5 linked regions of the Danio rerio genome follow. The protein of the gene in region 4 purifies or fractionates together with the protein of the main gene of each other region. This does not show direct contact. Links are inferred from orthologs where the notes say so. Each region holds a gene or a part of one and is shown on either strand. Other genes may lie near its edges.

Evidence for each region.
Region 1: the proteins of vamp4 (region 4) and vti1b purify together in Homo sapiens (affinity purification with mass spectrometry; 4 studies listed by BioGRID and IntAct, counting the BioPlex papers as one, with this or other methods). This does not show direct contact. The link is inferred for Danio rerio from reciprocal best matches to the Homo sapiens genes VAMP4 and VTI1B.
Region 2: the proteins of vamp4 (region 4) and vti1a purify together in Homo sapiens (affinity purification with mass spectrometry; 4 studies listed by BioGRID and IntAct, counting the BioPlex papers as one, with this or other methods). This does not show direct contact. The link is inferred for Danio rerio from reciprocal best matches to the Homo sapiens genes VAMP4 and VTI1A.
Region 3: the proteins of vamp4 (region 4) and stx12l purify together in Homo sapiens (affinity purification with mass spectrometry; 3 studies listed by BioGRID and IntAct, counting the BioPlex papers as one, with this or other methods). This does not show direct contact. The link is inferred for Danio rerio from reciprocal best matches to the Homo sapiens genes VAMP4 and STX12.
Region 5: the proteins of vamp4 (region 4) and napab purify together in Homo sapiens (affinity purification with mass spectrometry; 3 studies listed by BioGRID and IntAct, counting the BioPlex papers as one, with this or other methods). This does not show direct contact. The link is inferred for Danio rerio from reciprocal best matches to the Homo sapiens genes VAMP4 and NAPA.

What each region holds. Positions count from the first base shown.
Region 1 is NC_133188.1:36,491,373-36,495,485, forward strand, and holds the start of vti1b (vesicle transport through interaction with t-SNAREs homolog 1B), read right to left. Parts: upstream 2,812-4,113; 5' UTR 2,678-2,811; coding exon 2,581-2,677; intron 1-2,580. Other genes in the region: rdh12 (retinol dehydrogenase 12), read left to right, coding at 3,630-3,709. UniProt on the Homo sapiens protein: V-SNARE that mediates vesicle transport pathways through interactions with t-SNAREs on the target membrane. These interactions are proposed to mediate aspects of the specificity of vesicle trafficking and to promote fusion of the lipid bilayers.
Region 2 is NC_133187.1:33,314,095-33,318,174, forward strand, and holds the start of vti1a (vesicle transport through interaction with t-SNAREs homolog 1A), read right to left. Parts: upstream 2,809-4,080; 5' UTR 2,708-2,808; coding exon 2,614-2,707; intron 1-2,613. UniProt on the Homo sapiens protein: V-SNARE that mediates vesicle transport pathways through interactions with t-SNAREs on the target membrane. These interactions are proposed to mediate aspects of the specificity of vesicle trafficking and to promote fusion of the lipid bilayers.
Region 3 is NC_133191.1:7,967,124-7,970,639, reverse strand, and holds part of stx12l (syntaxin-12), read right to left. Parts: intron 1,322-3,516; coding exon 1,225-1,321; intron 1,027-1,224; coding exon 954-1,026; intron 850-953; coding exon 767-849; intron 1-766. UniProt on the Homo sapiens protein: SNARE promoting fusion of transport vesicles with target membranes. Together with SNARE STX6, promotes movement of vesicles from endosomes to the cell membrane, and may therefore function in the endocytic recycling pathway.
Region 4 is NC_133195.1:16,222,317-16,226,452, reverse strand, and holds the start of vamp4 (vesicle-associated membrane protein 4), read right to left. Parts: upstream 2,807-4,136; 5' UTR 2,683-2,806; intron 1-2,682. UniProt on the Homo sapiens protein: Involved in the pathway that functions to remove an inhibitor (probably synaptotagmin-4) of calcium-triggered exocytosis during the maturation of secretory granules.
Region 5 is NC_133193.1:47,646,265-47,649,780, reverse strand, and holds part of napab (N-ethylmaleimide-sensitive factor attachment protein, alpha b), read right to left. Parts: intron 3,083-3,516; coding exon 2,978-3,082; intron 2,885-2,977; coding exon 2,816-2,884; intron 1-2,815. UniProt on the Homo sapiens protein: Required for vesicular transport between the endoplasmic reticulum and the Golgi apparatus. Together with GNA12 promotes CDH5 localization to plasma membrane.

The sequences.
Region 1 (4,113 bases), on a different chromosome or scaffold from region 4:
GAGAACCCCAAATTTCTGTCAAATTGTACTTGTAATAAACCCTAATGACTGTAAAAGAACGAGCCCCAATTCCCTAGATCAGTGGTTCTTAGACTTTTTTCACCAAGTACCACCTCAATTAAAAATTCTTCCCAAGTACCACCATAATGACCAGTATTGAAATACAGTAGTGTAGTAGGCCTAATTAAGCAGCTACAGCACTGCACAATTCAAAAGCGTGGCAGATTAATTCTGATTATTATTATGAATATTTGTTATTTTCAGCCATATTAAACATCATAAGTAGTTTGAACATTAACACTGTGCTGTTGAACTGTGCGTTCAAAAGCTAATCAAAAACGGCACTGTTTTTAAAAAGTAAAGAGAAAACTGCTGTACCTAAATGTAAAGTATTATCATAAAGTATCCTAAATTTTGAAATATATGATGCATGTATATATGACTTTGTAAATCTTTGAAATCTAAATGTTAACTTGTATTTTAGATATATGAATTGGATTTGCATATTTAAATAAAAAATGAGTTTGCCCACTGCACGTTAGAGTAGGTTATGTGTGTCAGTAAAGCAAGTGATTAAACTATACCTGTGAACATTGGGATATAAAAATATGGGATAAGCCCCTACAACTGTTACAAATATGGAGAGGAAATTAGCTTTAAATGATAGAATACATAACAAACATTAGAAAATTGAAAATAAAATGAAAGGTTTATCCTATTAAAATCAATTTACTGATCACATCGGCGTTATCGTACGCGTCAAAGGGTTAAAAGTGTGCTCATTTTTACTTTAATTATTCAGCGATTCCTCCGTGTACCACTAGAAGGAAGCCTGCATACACGTACCACAGTTTGAGAACTACTGCCCTAGATAAAGTGTAAAACATCACATTACGCGTTTTTCTGTAGTCTATTGTAAGGAAAAAGCTTAATGTAGCTTAATGTACCTTAACAACAAGGTACATCTAATTAAAATCTAATTTCTAAAATAAAATCTAATTTCTATCAAATTTTACTTGTGATTAACACTTTCTGATGTCAAAAAAATGAGCTCTAATTTTAGTAAGTGAAAAGGATCACGTTATGCGTTTTTCAAATCCATTATAAAAGGAAAGAGCTTAACATGGCTTAACGTACCTCAACAAGAGCACACCAAAAATCTATGAAATTTCACTTGTAATTATCTTTAACTACTAGCAAAAGATCAAGTCCTGATTCTGTGGATGAAGTTAATTGATCAATGTGACATTAAAACGTTTTATCCCCATTGAAATCCATTATAAGACCTTAATGAGGTTTAACTTAATAACATTGAGACAATCAAATGTATATAAAAATATACTCATAAACACTTTCTTCTGTTAAAAGAACAAACTTTTATTTTAGTATACTGTATCAAGTGAACAATATCACTAAACGTTCTCTCTGTAAAAGTCCATTATAAGGAAACAGCTTAACCTGGCTTAACGTACCTTAACACTGACCAGGAAAACCCAAATTTGTCAAACTTTACTAGTGATTAACACTAACTATTGTCTAAAGAACAGGCCCTAATTCCATAGATAAAGTGAACAATATCACGTTAAGTGTTTTCCTCCCATCGAAGTCCATAATAAGAAAAGGTTGAACGTGACTTTACAACAACAACCAAGAGAAACTAAATGTTACCCACTTGTTGTTAAGGTACATTAGCCATGTTAAGCTTTTTCCTTATAATAGACTTCAGAAAAATGGTTATTGTGATGTCTTACATTTTATCTAGGGAATTGGGACTCATTGATTTTACAGTCATTAGGGTTAATTACAAGTAAAGCTCGACAGAAATGTGGGTTTCTCTGGTTGATGTTCAAGTACATTAAGCCACGTTAAACGTTTTAGAATGTCCCTCTGCAAATATTGAGGTAAAGTTTGTTTTATATTCACACATTTGAGACTTTAGTCTTCCAAATATAACTTCAGAAAAGTATTTTTGAAAATTCTTAATAGGGAAATTATATTATAGCCAATGACTATCAATGTACAGCGTCGTTCACAGTCAATAAATGTGCTAATGTCGTTTTGAATCATAATCCCATGCCTCACAGCCATTATTGAAAGTAGACAGTCACAATTTGCCACTGGTCAAAAACTAACGAATGTGCAAATATAAAACCAACTTTACCTCACTTCTGCAAATTAGGGATAGAGATGACATCGTCTTTTCCAAATATGCAGACTGCATTTTTACTGCAGACACAAAGCAGTGTATATGGCAATTTGTTTAGACTCAGTCTTTCTTACTGAGCCAGCAATTTGTAATCCTCGCACCCAGTTTATGAACGTGTCCTAGACTCCCGTGGATTAAAAAAACTATAGCCACACACTTTCAAAGCGTTTGTTAATGGTTGATATTTTAGCATTTTTTTCTGAACAGCAGCCTAATTCCATAATCTCGATACTTCATCCACAGCTACAATATCAGGAGTGTTTGGAAAATCTCTAATGACAGTACTCAAAATAAGTTAATGACTATTCACTGATGAAAGCAGTTCATTCGCACAGTCTTGTTAACGTATAATACAGTATAAAGAGTTTATTCACCTCCCTGGCTCTTCTGCACCCGTTCTGGCATCAACTTCACTTCGTCATACAGAGATTTATACATCTCATGCAGCTTTTCAAACTCCTCTGAAGACATAGTGGAACAAACGAAGTCTAAAGCAAATAAACAAAATAAATGACAACAGAATAAAAGAGCGAAAATTTGAAGTCTGTTGTGGTACGAAACAATAGGGAAAAATCAGCTTCTCGGGCAATAACAAAATCCTCGGGACTGCAGCTCACGCTTCCGTGTTGGACCTCGTGATGATAGGCGGTCTTGATTTTGCCTGCAAACAAGAATGCAGATTAAAATCTTAAAGGCTGTTTTAAAATTTTAAACATCTAAAACAGCTCTATATTAATATGTGTATGCTTAATTAAAATTTTAATGCACTTCATTTTTGAAAAATGATACAAAAGTAGACTTCAATTAAACGTAGCAAATATGTAGACAGCTCGCATCATAAATACAGTGTGGGAGTTGTAGTTCATATTTTTAGGAAAACCCAAATTAATCTGTTTCGTAAATATAATCGTCGAACAATTAAAGTTTAGCTGACATAATAAATATTACCTACATATTTGCTATTCATTTACATAAATGACTTAATAGTACTATAATTCACTCTATAATATTTGATACGCTGTACGATAAAAACTATTCAGTTTCAATTTCACTTTAAATTATATTCATTTTGTTGTTTTCTATTTGTTGTTGCATACTGCAAACTTTCTCACACAAACACGCGAAGGAAAAAATACATTATTACTACATATCAATAATTAAAATAAGGCCCAACACATGTCAATAAAACAGCATGTAGTTTATTGCAAATATAATATTTAATAATAAAATATTTACAATCATTTTCAGCAACAAATTAATGACCATTCAGGAAACATTTTTGTGCAGGTGCAGACAATGAAAACTACAATCCCATCATTCCCCGGGAGCACAGCTGTAGATGTGAGTGGGAGGCTGCTGAACACATTCGGACGGACAGAGACAGACTGGAGTACAGTACAGTTACAGCAGCAGCAGCAGTGTCATGATGCTCGCGCTCGTGGCGTTCGCGGCGGGTTTAGGGCTCGTCGCGCTGATTTTAAGGCTGCTTTCTCCTCAGATCAGGTAAGTCATGTCGTTTATAGCATGAGAGATATGAAAATGACATTATGATATGATGAACGACTATACTAGCAATACATTCAATCTGTGGTGAAACGAGCACAGTGTCCAGTTGGGATGAAAACATGATGTAAAAGACTAAAGCAGAAACCACAGCCACCACTGAAGCGTACAGCCCCGTGCAGGGTCCTGTAATGGTATTAAACGATCACATCTGAACTCGAATTTCTACGTAATCTACATTACGTTACATTACGCATCAACAATGCTTTTATTATTTGGATGTAGAACGCGCTGGATATTGATTAAGGTTGTCCCGTTGCGGACCCGCCTCCACTTGACATGATCTGCTCCAGAAATCGACCAATAGAATGACAGTATAGGCGGAGCCACCCCGCCCCTCTGCT
Region 2 (4,080 bases), on a different chromosome or scaffold from region 4:
GACATAAAACTGTTAATCATAACTGGTTCTGTTCTTTTTCCAACTAGACTGGAAAAATAAAAAGCTGTGTTTTAATAAACAAATGTAAAAAATAACCAAAATAGTAGAATATATAGTAAAAGTACTCAGGAAAATATTAACGTTTAACATTGGCTATATTGTTTTGGATGCATTTATAAAAGACAAAAAAGATGAGTCAAAATATATACAAGGTTGATGATATTTTTAAATAATGAGCTCTGACTTATCTGCAATCATTTGTATCTCATAATAACATTGTTCTCATGGAAACAAGTTTGTCTGACTTGAGCAATAAAACCACAACACAACAACAGGTGTATTGACAGTAGGTTTACAGATGCAGATGACAACTTACAATAACTTGCAACCCTAAGTGTAAGAAATTTGTGATGAAGTTGTGTTTAGTGCAGACATATTGATATTGATATTGAAATTGCCTATAGTCTATGAACACATACATCCATTATATATTATGCAGTACACACAGCATCTGATGTCCAAATAAGTTAGAAAAACATCAGGAATCCATGACCTCTAGGGGCTCCATGAAGTTACTACAGGGACACCAATATTAATTGTTTGACTACCAGATTGGGTTTAGACTAGAGAAAATGGGGAAAAAAAAAACCAAAATATAAACAAAACCAAAACACATTGTAATATATTGATATTTCATCTATTTGGAATTTTCAGTCTTTGATATGCTCTCCAAGGCTCCATTTATTTGGAAAATGCAGTAAATTCACTAATATTGAAAAACAGTCTTATACATTAAAATAGCAGTTTTCTATGCTAAAATATTTTTGAATGTAACCTATTTCCGTGAAGGCCAAAGTGAAATTTCAGCATTGTTGATCCACTCTTTAGAGTCACATGATCCTTTAGAAGTTATTCTAGCATGTTGATTTGGTGATCAAATAATGCTTCTCCCTATTATTAATATCAAAAAGAGTTTCAGATGCTTTTTCATTTTTAAAAGCGTATATGCAGTATAAAAAACATTTATTCACAAATGAGGCCTTACAATAATCAATAGTAACCTTAAACAGAAAAGAAAATGTATTTAAAAATATATTGTCAAATAATTGCTGTTCATGAAATGTTTTCAAACAAAAACTCTAAGAAAAATTAAGCATAATTCTCACAAAAAAATTAAACATCAATAACTGTTGATGACAATAAACATATTATAATAAATATTATAGAATAATATTATAATAATAAATATTACAATTAATAACAATGAGAAATAATATGACTATAAAATGTGTGCATGGTGAGCAGCATCTTAAGAATATGCATTTGTAACAGTTTGAGATCTTGTTAGGCATTTTTGAATATACAAACATGAAAATGTAGGCTTAATAATAATAATAATAATAATTCTAACAAACAAGTTAATAAATAATAAATGATCAATTAAAATGCAAAATTAAAATAACATTTAATCAATATAAATCATCAGGGTTCCCATTGAAAGCCAAATTCCCAGATTTTTACTTACTAAACCTGAATTTCCATGATCTATAAATATAATAAATGGGAAAACAGGCGGCTGTTGTGCTTTGCATACTATTAGAATGGTTTTAGCTTGAATGTCTTTTTGCATGTCTTTAATAGTTCTTATGAGAACAACAATATATAACTTAAGTCAGATTTAAAAATAAACCTGATGTACATACAGATTGTGTGGCTGTGAGGTGAATTATCCATCTCCCATATTTGATAGCTTGATAGCAGTTTTACCAACTTTACATTAAATTTTTCTGCCATATTGTTTTTAACACCCAGTCCTTTTCAAGTATTTATTTTGAAGCCAAAGCTATTAAATGTATAACAGGTAACATTATAACAGGTACATTCCAGCTATTGTGTTTAACGTAAATGTCTACTAGATGATAAATTGGAGCTGGAAATAGCCTGACCCTAACAATAGGTATAACATAGAGATAAGGGCAAAGTTTTGGTGGCCCACACAGCATTTAAAAATAAAAAAACCTCTGCAATATGTCACTTCATCTCGCAGGCTCTGGCCTGAAAAAAGTTAAAGACTCCTCCTGACTAAGTGTACACAAATTTTATTTTTATCAAAACTTGCTTTATTATCTCCTCCTATAACTGGTGCATTATGGCATTTTATGTCAGTATAATTCATTATGCAGGAAACAATAAACCAATCAATCACAATGCTTAAAATCAAACAGTAAATTAAATTGTCAACACTGAAAAACCATGAAGGAATTAGTTTAGTCTCACTCGATAGTATTCTTTTCTACGTTGGTATATAAAAATAAATCTTTTTTTATTTATTTAAAAACCCTTAATTCCAATATAACATTAATAAATCTAAGAAAAACAAGATGACATCCAAGACCCATGTCACCTAAATCCTGTCTCCTCAGACTCATGTGATACTGGACATCTGACACCACGACCATCCCGAACTATAGCTTCTTTACCAAATGATATGGGCCATTTCTAAATAATACACCGACCACACACACAAGCTGCATAAATAAATGATTAAACGAGTTGTTTATGTCTCTCTAACACCAATGTTTTGGCTAAGCAGCTCATCTAACATCCACTTACCACCGGCTAATTTGGGTATTCGTCCGATTTTGTTGGTTATTTCAGCGGTGAGGGTCCCAAAGTCCTGTTCGTACGCTTCAAAATCTGAAGACATGTTGTATTTTTAGTTTTAAAAGATTAAAAGAGCGATAAACTGAGCTGCGTTACACACTGTTGCTTGTGTCTGCTTCTTATTGACGTCCGCGTCACTTCCGGGTGGTGTCACGGGAATTTGTTCACGATTTCTTCCTGTCAATGGTTCCGCTGTGGGGTGAGTCGTGCGATTAATTGTTTGGTCTTCCTCGTTGAATTGCGTGTAGTTATTTTTGAAAACGGATTTAAGCTTTGACAGTATTACGATTGGCTAAATAGCGCGTTCACTGGGTCATATTAAGCGGCGCTGTCATTTTTCTTGGACTCTGACCGCACGAGGAAACAGTAGTCGAGGTACAGTATGTGTCAACGATTAATTTTTCATTTCAGTATAGAGTACAATTAACGATACATGGGTCATAATGAAAGATAAATGACGTCTTACATGTGTTAGTAACCTTGTTTTTTTGCCTTGAAGCATGTGTCATTGGTTAAGGTCTGCTATCATATAGATTGCTAGTTATAGATAAGGTCATTTCTACAGTTAAGACTTCAATATTTTACCTCATAAAATTGAATTATACCGCCTTTTGGTTGGATTTAAGTTTGTTTAGTATTTGAGCTGGACTGATTTACTTCATGCAGACTGACAGCAGACTGTTATTTTTTATGGCGTTTAAACATCGTGCGCTTTTGCCTTTAACCTTTAACCTTGCGTGTTGCACCAAAAATAGTGGAAGTAGTAAAATATAAACTAAATTATGCAACACATGAGCATAGAAACAAAGTTTGGGTGTGCCTTGGAAACAAGGTGTGCTGCCACTGAAGCACAATATTTGACAGGTAACATTACCCATTGTATTCATCACTTTATAATTGTAGTTTTCGTTTACAATAGATTCAGTTTTGTCATAATGGCAGTCAATGCTAAACAAATTAGCTCTAGAAGGCATATAGATAGTGAAGTAAATCATAAATTGATGTGTCTGACATGTCTAGTTTTGGTGTCGGCATTAAAAATGAAATAAACAAAAAAAATTTAATTTATATACATATTAGAAAACACTAAATGCAAGTGTCTACTTTCGGGTTTTAGATAACGTTCATGAAATTAAATAATGTTCTGTTGTCATTCACCTCAATTTAATGTAATTTATGTTAAAATTTATTAAAATACGATCGCTTCACAGCAAGAAGGTCACTGGTTTGAGCCTCAGCTAGGTCAGTTGGCATTTCTGTGTGGAGTTTGCATGTTCTCCACGTGTTGGCCTGGGTTTCCTCTCTGGGTGCTCCAGTTTCCCCCACAAGTCCAAAGACATTTGGTACAGGTGAAATGAATAAGCTAAATTGGCCATAGTGTATGTCTGTGAATGAGAGTATTCCCAGTGATAGGTT
Region 3 (3,516 bases), on a different chromosome or scaffold from region 4:
TATGTGCACCCAATGATTCAAACATTGTATCCTGAAGGCGATGCCGTTTGTCAAGATGGTAATGCAAAAATACACACAGCAGGATTGGTGATAGAGTGGTTTGATGAACATGAAAGGCAAGTCGAACATCTCCCATGGCCTGCACAGTCACCAGATTTAAATATTATTGAGTCACTTTGGGGTTTTTTGGAGGAGCGAGTTAGGAAATATTTTCTCCAATAGCATAAAGTAGTGACCAGGTCGCTATTCTGCGAAAAGAATGGCTCAAATCCCCTCCAACCACTGTGCAGGACTTGTATCAGTCATTGCCAAAACAAATTGATGCTGTATTGATTCTACGCAGACGAGCGGGCGCTGCCATTTGAATCTTTTTGGCACGAGACTTCCGGTCTCATTCACTTCCATTCATTTTTAGACATTAAAAATTGCTCGTTTCGCTGTTTGATGTTGCAAACTGATATTTCCTTGTTATATTATTCTACTTGGTCTGTATAGTCATGCAAACATTTGTTTGTAGAGCAAGTAGTTTGACCGTTTTTTGCCGTTTATTATTCCTAGTCATTTCTCCCATAGGTGACTGAAACGGAAGTTCTAAGACAATCGCGAAAACAGGCGCACTTCCGCATTTTAGAATAAGGCTGCAAAAGGAGGCCCTTCACAATACTAATGAATTATTGTGGTCTTAAACCAGGAGTTTTAATGTCATTGTCCAACCCCTGTATATATAAAGAAATGAATGTCATATAAATGTCCATGGTGAACATACCTGGTAATATGCAGCATGCTGGAGCTGTTCGGCCCCTCGTTCCACATGCACCTCTGCACTCTCTACATTGGCTTCAATGCTATCTGTGTATCATGACATGACAAAACCAGGGTTCAACAAAACAAAATAACTGTGTGGAAATTTAAATGCCTTTTAAAACAGTTTAGAAATAACTAGACTAACCTACCTATCATGTCACCCTGGTCGTGGATCATAACAGCAAGGTCCTTGAAGATTTGATTCACATCCATAATGTCTGACTAAATCAAGACCAGAAAGCAAATAGCACATAATACTTTAAAATCGGACAACTCCCATAAACACAATAGTCTTAATAATTATGTAAGAAATTAGTAAACTAAAAAAAGTGTTTGAATGCATATGAATCTTCAGGACATTACTTATTCTTATTGTTGTTGTTTAGTGATGTTGGATTTTTGTATGTAAGGTGTGCTCACCTCCAGCTGACGGATATTGGTCTCTCTTTCTTTAATAAGCTCAAGGTCCTCTTCTGTGACAGGCTCCTCTTCTGTCTGCATTCTCCAGCCTTCATTCCTTTTCAAATAAAAATAGCTATGAATATTTCAGCTTTCAGATCTTTTACTATTGTATTAATGCATTTAAAAAATAGATACACATTAAAGGTTCCGTGAAGTGCTTTGAATTGTGCATTTTTCTGAAACATGAAGACTGGGCGGGACATATAGTAGCTCCTTATTAAAAAAAAAAAATAGCCAATAGCGTTTAGTTCTATCACAGCTCTGCCAGTGAGAGTGGTTGAGATCAAGCGCATCAAATCAAAAGCAAATGAGAAGCATCTTGAAGGGAGGCAGGGCATGTAGAGAGCATTTGATTGGTTAAAAGATTTGATGAGGAACTGAAGTATGAGGTAAGGTTAAAAAAAGTTGTTCCAAGTGACAAACTGCAAGCTTTGGATGTTTGTATCTACTACATGCAAACTGTATCACTGTTTTTGAGCACACTAGCTTATAGATAGCATTACCACTAACATACTTATACTAACACCTTTTTTTTTCATTGAATGGGACCTTTAAATCAACTTATTATACATACTGTATCCTGTGTTTTGGATGTCTATTTTGATCAAAATAAAGGCTCATGAGGGTGTTGGATGCCTGGGTTCAGTTTAGGGTCAAATAATGTATGAAGGCTAATTAGAGTTAACATTAAGGGCCCTATCATACACCCGGCGCAGTGTGGCGCAAGACGCGGCGCAGTAGTCTGTTGGTAGTTTTCAGCTTGGCGCAAGAGTCGTTTTGAGGCGTTGCGCTGCGCTGTTTAAATAGCAAATGCATTAGCGCTCATTTTTGCGTCCATATGCGTTCTGGTCTAAAAAGGAAGGCGTTCTGAGGCGGACCGCTGGCGCGTTGCTATTTGAGAAACTATAATAGATTTTTCATTAGACCAAAACTAACCTGTTCTAAACTCCGGTGCAGAGTTGCGCCTCGCTTACGCACTGCTTAATACGCACAAGAGAGCAATAGGCAAATATCTTTACATATGAAAAAATTTAAATATTAAGGATATATATAGTATATAATAAGAATAGATTTAAAATATAAATATAAAGGATTAAAATATTACAAAACATATTATTTTCTAGCCTACATAAATATTCTTTATCTCGGGAGGCTTTTTCAGTTCATTCATAACAATTTGCTTTTGTATAATGTTATTATTATTAGCAGTATTATTTATTATATCCATATTTATATTTGTTTTATTAAAAACAAGCTTAGATTTGCCCACCTGTCAGGTTTTAGACCATATGGGGCACAGCATGTGTTTGAGGATATAACTCAGGTTTTTGAGCACATTTTGCTATTATTATTCATTTATTCGTTTGCTGGAAATTAGAACTGAATTTAGAAATAGTTTTGAAACGAATATTTGCGCTTAACAAACAAAATTATTTATTTATAGACTAATTGATGTCTGTGCGTAAAGGTTTCCCTATCCAAGAGCGACAGTGAAAGTGATCTATTATCTCTCATTCTCATGCAGTAGATGCTCTGTTTAACAGTTTTCGGTTAAAAAACTGTTAACTGTTTACTAGTGAAGTGCTCATTTTTTCCACTTATACTTACTTTGCGTCCTGTAAATAGCAAATGCGCTCTTGGCGCGATGCAGCGGACTCTTAAAGGGAATTGGAGATGAGACTCTAATTGGTTTATTCTCAAAACACACCTATAACTCATTAAGAAAATAAACTCAACCCTTTTAGAACATGCGCAAGGCAGATTTCCCGTCCTTAAATTAGCAAAAACGCGTCCTGACACGCCCTGAAAGCGTTTGCGCCCTGCGTTTTGCGCTCTGCGCATGGACCGTCGAAATAGAGCCCTAAAGGTGGAATATGTAAGTTTGACATCCAGTGGTTCAATTAGGGATTGCACTCCTGGTTCAAAACACATTTTCACTCTGCCCCTGCTCTGATGACCACACGCAAGCGCAGTTTGTGATTTGATGACATCAATAGGAGCGAGTCTGACTACCCTAAAGGCTGATTTAAATCTTGTTTTAAATAAAAGCAACGGCACGTGATAGAAAGAATATTTGCCATATTAAAATGAGTTTTTGTCCTAACAAACCCCTGACAGTTCTATTTTAGAAACAACTTCTACTGTATTTCTCACAGGTGAACAACAGAAAACTGTTAATAATCACCTAAGGTACAAATCATGTGCTTTATTCAGTGTTAAATGCTAACAATGTGAGTTTGAATGCCATTT
Region 4 (4,136 bases):
TGTGGATGTTTCCCAGAGATGGGTTGCGGCTGGAAAGGTATCCGCTGCGTAAAAACTTGCTGGATAAGTTGGCAGTTCATTCCGCTGTGGCGACCCCGGATTAATAAAGGGACTAAGCCGACAAGAAAATGAATGAATGAATGACTAAGGCATGGGCCAATATAAGATTTTGACAGTATGATAACCTTGGATAAAAATATCATGGTTTCATGGTATCACGGTATTGTGATTACTGGTCTAAAATGTATATTTTTTAATGTCTAGGTATAAAAAAGGAAAGTTTTTCCTCTTTAAACACAATATATTTTATTTTGAGAAACATTTAAAATATCTTAAAACAGTAAACATGTCAGACTAAATAAATTACTGACTTCTGCTGTCTTCATTTGTTTTAAAAACAGATTTTTTTTTTTTTTTTTTTACAATTTAAAACAGCATCTTTGGATATTTGTTCTGCTGGAGATACTGCTCTCCTAAAAAAAATAAAAAAATAAATAAATAAATAAAAACATAAATGAAAAATTTTACTCATACCTTAAGAACAATATTGCAAAAAATTGTGATGGTTTTAAAACTTTGACTTTTCTAAACCACGGTATACCTTGAAAACAGATATCGTCCAATGCCTAACTTACTACTAGAACTAGAAACAAGACAAAAAGTCCAAGTCAAATGTTACATAAATCGTATTAATATTTAAATACAACTAATCTGTTACACCTCCAAACATCCTGTTTTTGTGCTGAAATATTTCAAACTCTCCTGAATTACACAGTTACAGGCCTTAAAACACATGTAATCAATAAACTTTGTTATGGTTTAACTCATGAGAGACAACAAATCACATGTGTTCTGTGGCTCGTGGTCAAGTATGATTCAACATTGTGACTATTGCGGAAGCGCACATTGCAATATCAATGCAGAAACTATATTTTGTGCAGCCTTAATAGCATCAGTTTAGTTTAAAAGAATCACTGCTCAACACATACAGTAACACAACACCAGAAACCATTAAAGCACTGCAATAAAGATACAATCATAGACTGTTTGGTTACTTAAATCAAATTGACTTTTTTTTTTTCATTGAGACCGTAAATTGGAATGACAAAAATAGGTCTAAATGACTTTCATTTTGTGATTTAAATCTTTTAAAATCTGTTTATTAATTATAATACTATAATAATTTAATAAAAAACTATGTGCAATAGTCAAGTGGATGGATGGATGGATGGATTAACGGATTAATTGATGAATGGATGAACTGACTGACGGATGGATGGATGGATGGATGGATGGATGGATGGATGGATGGATGGATGGATGGACGGACGGATGAATGGATGGATGGACTGATTGACTGATGAATAGATGGGACTCTGGACTACAAAACCAGTTATACGTGTCATTTTTAAAACTGAAATGTATACATCATCTGTAAGTTATGTAAATAGGCTTTTCCATTGATATATAGTTTGCTAGAATAGAGCAATATTTGCAAAGGTATGTGTGAATATCTGGAATCTGAAGAGTTAAAATAATAATGGAAAACTTTAAAACTGCTCAAATTAAGTTCTTCGATGCACATTATTACTTTTGATATAGGACATATACAAAATATTGTCATGGAACATGAGTTTATGAAATAAATATTTTTAACTCTGAACCAGACAAAAAAAAAATTTACTTTAACAACATAATACTGGTTTTCTCATCCAGGGTCGCAAATGCATCAATGGAATGGACAATCGTGTGGACTGGAAATGTTAACAAGGGAAACTGAAAGCAGAAATCTGTCCCTGCTGTTGTCAATACAAACCACCAGATCCACAATGAGCATGCTGACAGCAAACTGTTTACAGACATAACAAGTGACCCCACTGATTAAAACCTCCACATGCTTCATGTTGTCACGGAACAGCTCATAAACAAAACCAACAGGTTAGGCATCATTCCAGCATTTTCTTCATCGCTGCCACTAAATGATTTATATGAAAAGCACAGGTCAGCGAACAGCTAAAAGAAACACTGAGATCCCTCAAACATGATGGGGCTTACATAATTCAGGAAATTAGATAGCCTTGATTTTCTGTTTAAATAATAACTCAGTCTAAACTAATGACAATCACAAAATCACTGAGTAGAATAAAGAGAAGAACTAAACTGAAACGGATAGATTCAACATTCAGTGAACAATACGAGACTGGAACAAAACGGTTCATTCATTTGTCAAAACAGTACAGTGTAGATCTGGATTCAATGCCTATTTGGCTTTCAGAATGCTCACAATTTGCATTAAGAAACAGACAACTCCTAAACATACTCATTTTAGAGCAATAACAAATCAGTACATTACCGCTAATATCTAAATAAATTTAAAACAGGGCTAACTTAATCTTCCTGGCATGCATCTGCTACACAGAGCTTTATGCTAGTCAACCATGTAAACACTATGCTAATCGGAGATCGAAGCAAACGATAAGACGTGGTTTTATGGAAAAACGAAAAAGCGTGAAATTGAATAATCGTGTTTGCATGTCGATTAACGTTAGTGGAGGAATGGAAACACTGAATTGAAAACAGATGGCATGACAGCTAGCATGACGGCTAACACCTCTGTCATCACTGACCGCTACACAAACACATCCATGCAGGCCTCGAGAGCTGTTACTCCGGCTGGTGTACCTCAGAGATCCTGCTTTTGTCGATTAGTGTCTGGAGAAACCGCGTCGGTGTGTTTGTAATCCTGCTGATCTGTGTGTGATGGGATGCTGGGACGAGTCCTGAATGCTGTCTCTCGTTCGGCTCTGGAGCGGAAGCTAGAACAGCTGGACTAATTGTGTTTCCTGCAGACGCATCATCATCATTACCGTCATCACCACTAACATCATCATCTTTTGATAAAATACTACAACATCATCTTTCGAGGTAGTGTGATGTAACCTATACCTGGAAGAGAGTGATAAGTCATTGTTCATGTTTGCCAACAAACCAAAGTCTGTTAAATATTGTTTGCAGTTTTTTTTGACATTAGCAATGATTAACATTAGCAATGATTTTCTGTATTAAGGATTGTAACATATTGATACCTGTTGTTTTTGTGACAAACAAAATCAGTGACCTGTTTAAACAACGGTGCTACAACTAAATACAATTTTATAATATAAGCTCTTGAATGGTAAAAGTACAGTATATGTTAGAATTTCTGATTAAAATAATTCATTCATTCATTCATTTTCTTTTCGGCTCAGTTCGTTTATTAATCTGGAGTCGCCACAGCGGAATGAACTGCCAACCTCTCCAGCATTTGTTTTACACAGCGGATGCCCTTCCAGCGAGAGGGTGCTCACTGCAGAGCCATTTGAGGAGAGCTGAGCTCCAGCGAGGGGGAGCATGAGCTGTCGCTCCTCCTCCTGTAAGCTGTTTTAATGCGTACACCAACCCCACCCCTAACCCTACCCCCAGTGACATCACTCGTAGAAGAAGTGCAAAAAAGGTGGAGCTCAAGCTTAAGCTCCCCCTCGCTGGAGCTCAGCTCTCCTCAAATGCCTCTGCAGCGAACACCACTTGCTTCCAGCTGCAGTCCATCTCTGGGAAACATCCATACACACTCATTCACACACACACTCATACACTACGGACGATTTAGCCTACCCAATTAAACTGAACTGCATGTCTTTGAATTTGTGGGGGAAACCGGAGCACCCGGAGGAAACCCACACGAAAGCAGGAAGAACATGCAAACTCCACACAGAAATGCCAACTGACCCAGCCGAGGCTCGAACCAGGGACCTTCTTGCTGTGAGGCGACAGCACTACCTACTGCACCACTGCGTCGCCTGAAAAGATTTATAACTAGTTTAATTGTTATAATATGTTTTTTTTTCTATTCTATTCATTATTACAATATAGAGAATTATTATTATGTCTTTAGTATCGTCACTGATTGTTTTAGTAATATGGTTATATGATTTCTTGCAGAAGATATAACACTGACAACAAAAGTAAAGGCTGCTAACTGCTAAGTAAGTAAGCTGCTAAGTAAAACGCTTGGCAACATGTTTTGACGTGATTGATCATCATGAAACCAGTTCGAATCCAGCATCTGATGAACTTGTTCTTCTACAACTTTATGCTTA
Region 5 (3,516 bases), on a different chromosome or scaffold from region 4:
TTTAATCTCGTGGTCTGATTCATTGCTGAATAATCAATCTGACCCATCTCTTCCACCAACGCCGATTCTACATGCTGACAGCCCGACAGCACTCAATGGCCGACTGTCAACTTGCCGTGTCCCAGCCTTAAAACAAACACTGTTTAAGACCCTTGCTCTTTATTCTCCATCTTTTTGGACAACCAATCACAATCTATAAAATTAAATAAAAGTGTTTGTTTTTTCTTGGCTCAAAGTTGTTTTTAGCAAGAAATTTTTTTTATTTTTTAGTCCCTTTGGATAAAGGCATCTGCTAAATAAATAAATGTAGTAGCATGGTCAGAGGGTTTAACAAATGAACTCGAAGCTGCGATCCAGAATATTGGGAAATTTGATTCCCTAAACAAGATCTTTTAGTTTTTTTTTTTTTTTTTACTGCATCCTATACTTTTTTATGCTGAGGTTTACAAATTTACACAGGGTGATGCATGCATTCTCTTAGGAATGTAATTGTCTGACACTTTGTCTGGAGCTTTAACTAAAGTGAAAGGACAGAACGGCAAACAAGTCAAGAGAAGAAACATTTTTCGGATACTCCCATATTTATGTTTACTAATTTTGCATTAAAGGCAATCTAAATAACATATTAATTGACATAAAAGGGAAATTACTCAACTAATACAATATAAGCCTGAAAAAAAAAAATAATTTTAGAAAAAAAACTCACTTAGAAGATTTTGCATCCGAACTCTTCATATATTTTTTATTATTAATATATAATTGTATTGTTAAATGTATTTAATTATAAATTTCTTTTTTTTTTTTTTTTTTTTGATGAGGCAAATAAAAATCTTTTCCATCTGGGCCATTAAAAAAATCCTTAACTTTTAGCCCTTGAGTCTTAAATTTCATTCTTAATGGTCTTAAAAATGTCTTAAAAAGTCTTAAATTTAACTTGGTGAAACCGGCAGAACCCCGAGTAACACCTGTCCTTTTGTATCTGTTTATGATTCAAGAGTTCACACTTAGCTGATGATTGATTATTAAGCATGTTTGGCATGCTGTCCCAAGAGAGAGCCTTAAGCTCATAAGATCCTCGAGCCCAGGGCTCCCTCCCATTGCAAGGCGAGAGGGGAGTTTGAGCTCAGGTAGATCTTGAAAACTGTGATAACTAATCAACAGATGAAATTGCTCTCAAGAAAAAACTACTTACTAGGAGCATGTCTATGACATGTCTATCTAGGAGCACAGAGAGAACATGTAAACTCCACACAGAAATGTTGACTGGCTAAGTAAGGACCATTGACGTTCTTGCTGTGAGGCGACAGTGCCAACTATTGGGCCACTGTGCTGCCGATCTAAGAAAGGAGGAGTAGGGGTGGAAGGGGGGATTCTGTAAAATGAAGATGGCTGTGTTATGTTACTTAGGGTTTTTATAGAGACTAAAGAAATGTCTGATTGGTGAATCATGGATTGGCTAATGCATGACCAGCTGTGTTCAATAATAAGCATGTGATCCTCTCGAAGTTAGTTTATAAATAAACCCCACTTATTAATAAAATTTGAATGTTTAAGGGCCTAGATTATATAATGACATTAGTGTTCTCCCTCTTCAAAAGTAACACTGGTATGATATCCGTGCCATTGCTTTTTCTGTATGCCAAACGATTTGTTTCCTCAGGACCTTCAGGCACATCAAAGAGGCCTGGATGTTTGATGCTACTTGAACAGCTGTCGCTAGATGTCAATTTTACTGTGTTAGAGAATAAATTATTTTAAGATTCTTCATGCTTAGTTAGCCATCAGTGGAAAGATGTTTATTGTACCATTCTGATAAGATGCCTGCTAGAGAGCAAGACATCCTTGAAGTAGAGAAGTATTATTTGTGTATGCATGTGTGTGTGTGTGTGTGCGTGCGCGAGTTGTGAGAAACATCCTCCTGTTGTGTCTGATCTTTGTAGGCTTGACGCCAATGTAATCATTGAAGATATTGTTCTGAACTGTACGCACACATTTGGACATTTTATAAGTTTATCTGTGCTTCAACCAATCAGGTTAAAACTCCTATATGTATGACGCAGTTAGTGATGGGTAGAATTGTTGTTGATCTGAGTGTTGAAGCTGGCTCCTGCAGATAAAACTGCAAACTATCTCCAGTAAACTTTCTTTGATCAAATATTTGACTTTGGGGTCTTCTTCAACTGACAGACCAGTTGGTTCCCCAACACCCCCCAAAATACAAAGACAATCAAAGAAAGTGAAGATCAGACCACTTGTAAAAATGAAGCAGTACTGTCATCTAATCACTCATGTTTTGACTATTTTTTTAATCTCATCAGGATGATAAAGATCCCTTTACAGACACAAAAACTTCTATTTGCATCATGGATATGCAGATAACCCACTGATCTCACTCTTTCTGATAAAACAGTGGATTTATTAATCCCGGGATGCATACGAGTAAGCGTATGGGTTTTTCTATATACAGTTGAAGTCGGGTAATTAGCCAAGTCATAGTATAATGATGATTATACAATGTATAATTTATGATAAATGTTTAAAATGGAACCATTTAAAAAAAAAATTATATATATATATATATTACTGCTGTTTTATGGTAGGCATGGGTTCGCAGTTTGAAAAAGTCAAGGTTTTATATAATTTTCTTTTTAAGGTGTTTAGGCTGAGTAAATAGTGAGTAACTTTCAATTTATCCCTTTAAGGCCTTACATTGTGGAATGGTGAATAAGAAACTACTAAAAAATCCTAAATACACACTTAGGGCAAATTAAAGGTTTGTCATTTACAAGCACTTGAACTTGAGATTTAGTTTTACCTTCATGAGTTTGCATTCACGAGAATCTGAGAAGGCTGGAAACATTTCTTCGTATTTCTGAAGGGCAAGCTGCAAGGGGTGACATCAAAGACAAAAATAATGAGGGATTGAAAACAACACAACCGCTGTATGTCAGCTTGCCCTAAACAGTGTGATTCATACCTTAGCGTTCAGCATGTCAACACAGAAGTGACAGAGAGCAGCTTTAAAGAAATAGTCCTTTGCGCTGTATTTCAGTAAAGTGCTGTCCATAGCATGTGTTGCAACCTAGAAACCCAAACAAAGAAGCAGCTTGTCAACATTTTTCCTCAAAAATGCCTTTTCCCCTCCCCCGTAATAGTAATAATATTTGGGTATTTACACGCTTCATTGGCTATTACATGTCATAATATGTGACATATTAAACAATATTTAACAGCATACAAGGTCCTCACTCTTTCATGAAGTTTGTGAAATATTGTTCAAATGTGCATTATTTGTCATAGTTCTAGTACAAGATTTCAATTTAAGATTTTAAATTAATAAATTCTTTGTTTATTTATTCAGTTTTGATTGCTTAAATTAATAGTTTATGTTGTTATTTTATCACTTTTAAGTGTCTCCGTTTGTTTTTAAGTACTTTCCAGGGCTTAAATTCATGTCTGAAATTCAAGCACTTTCAAGAAGCGTAGAAGCCCCGAGTATAATACAAATGCACCAAA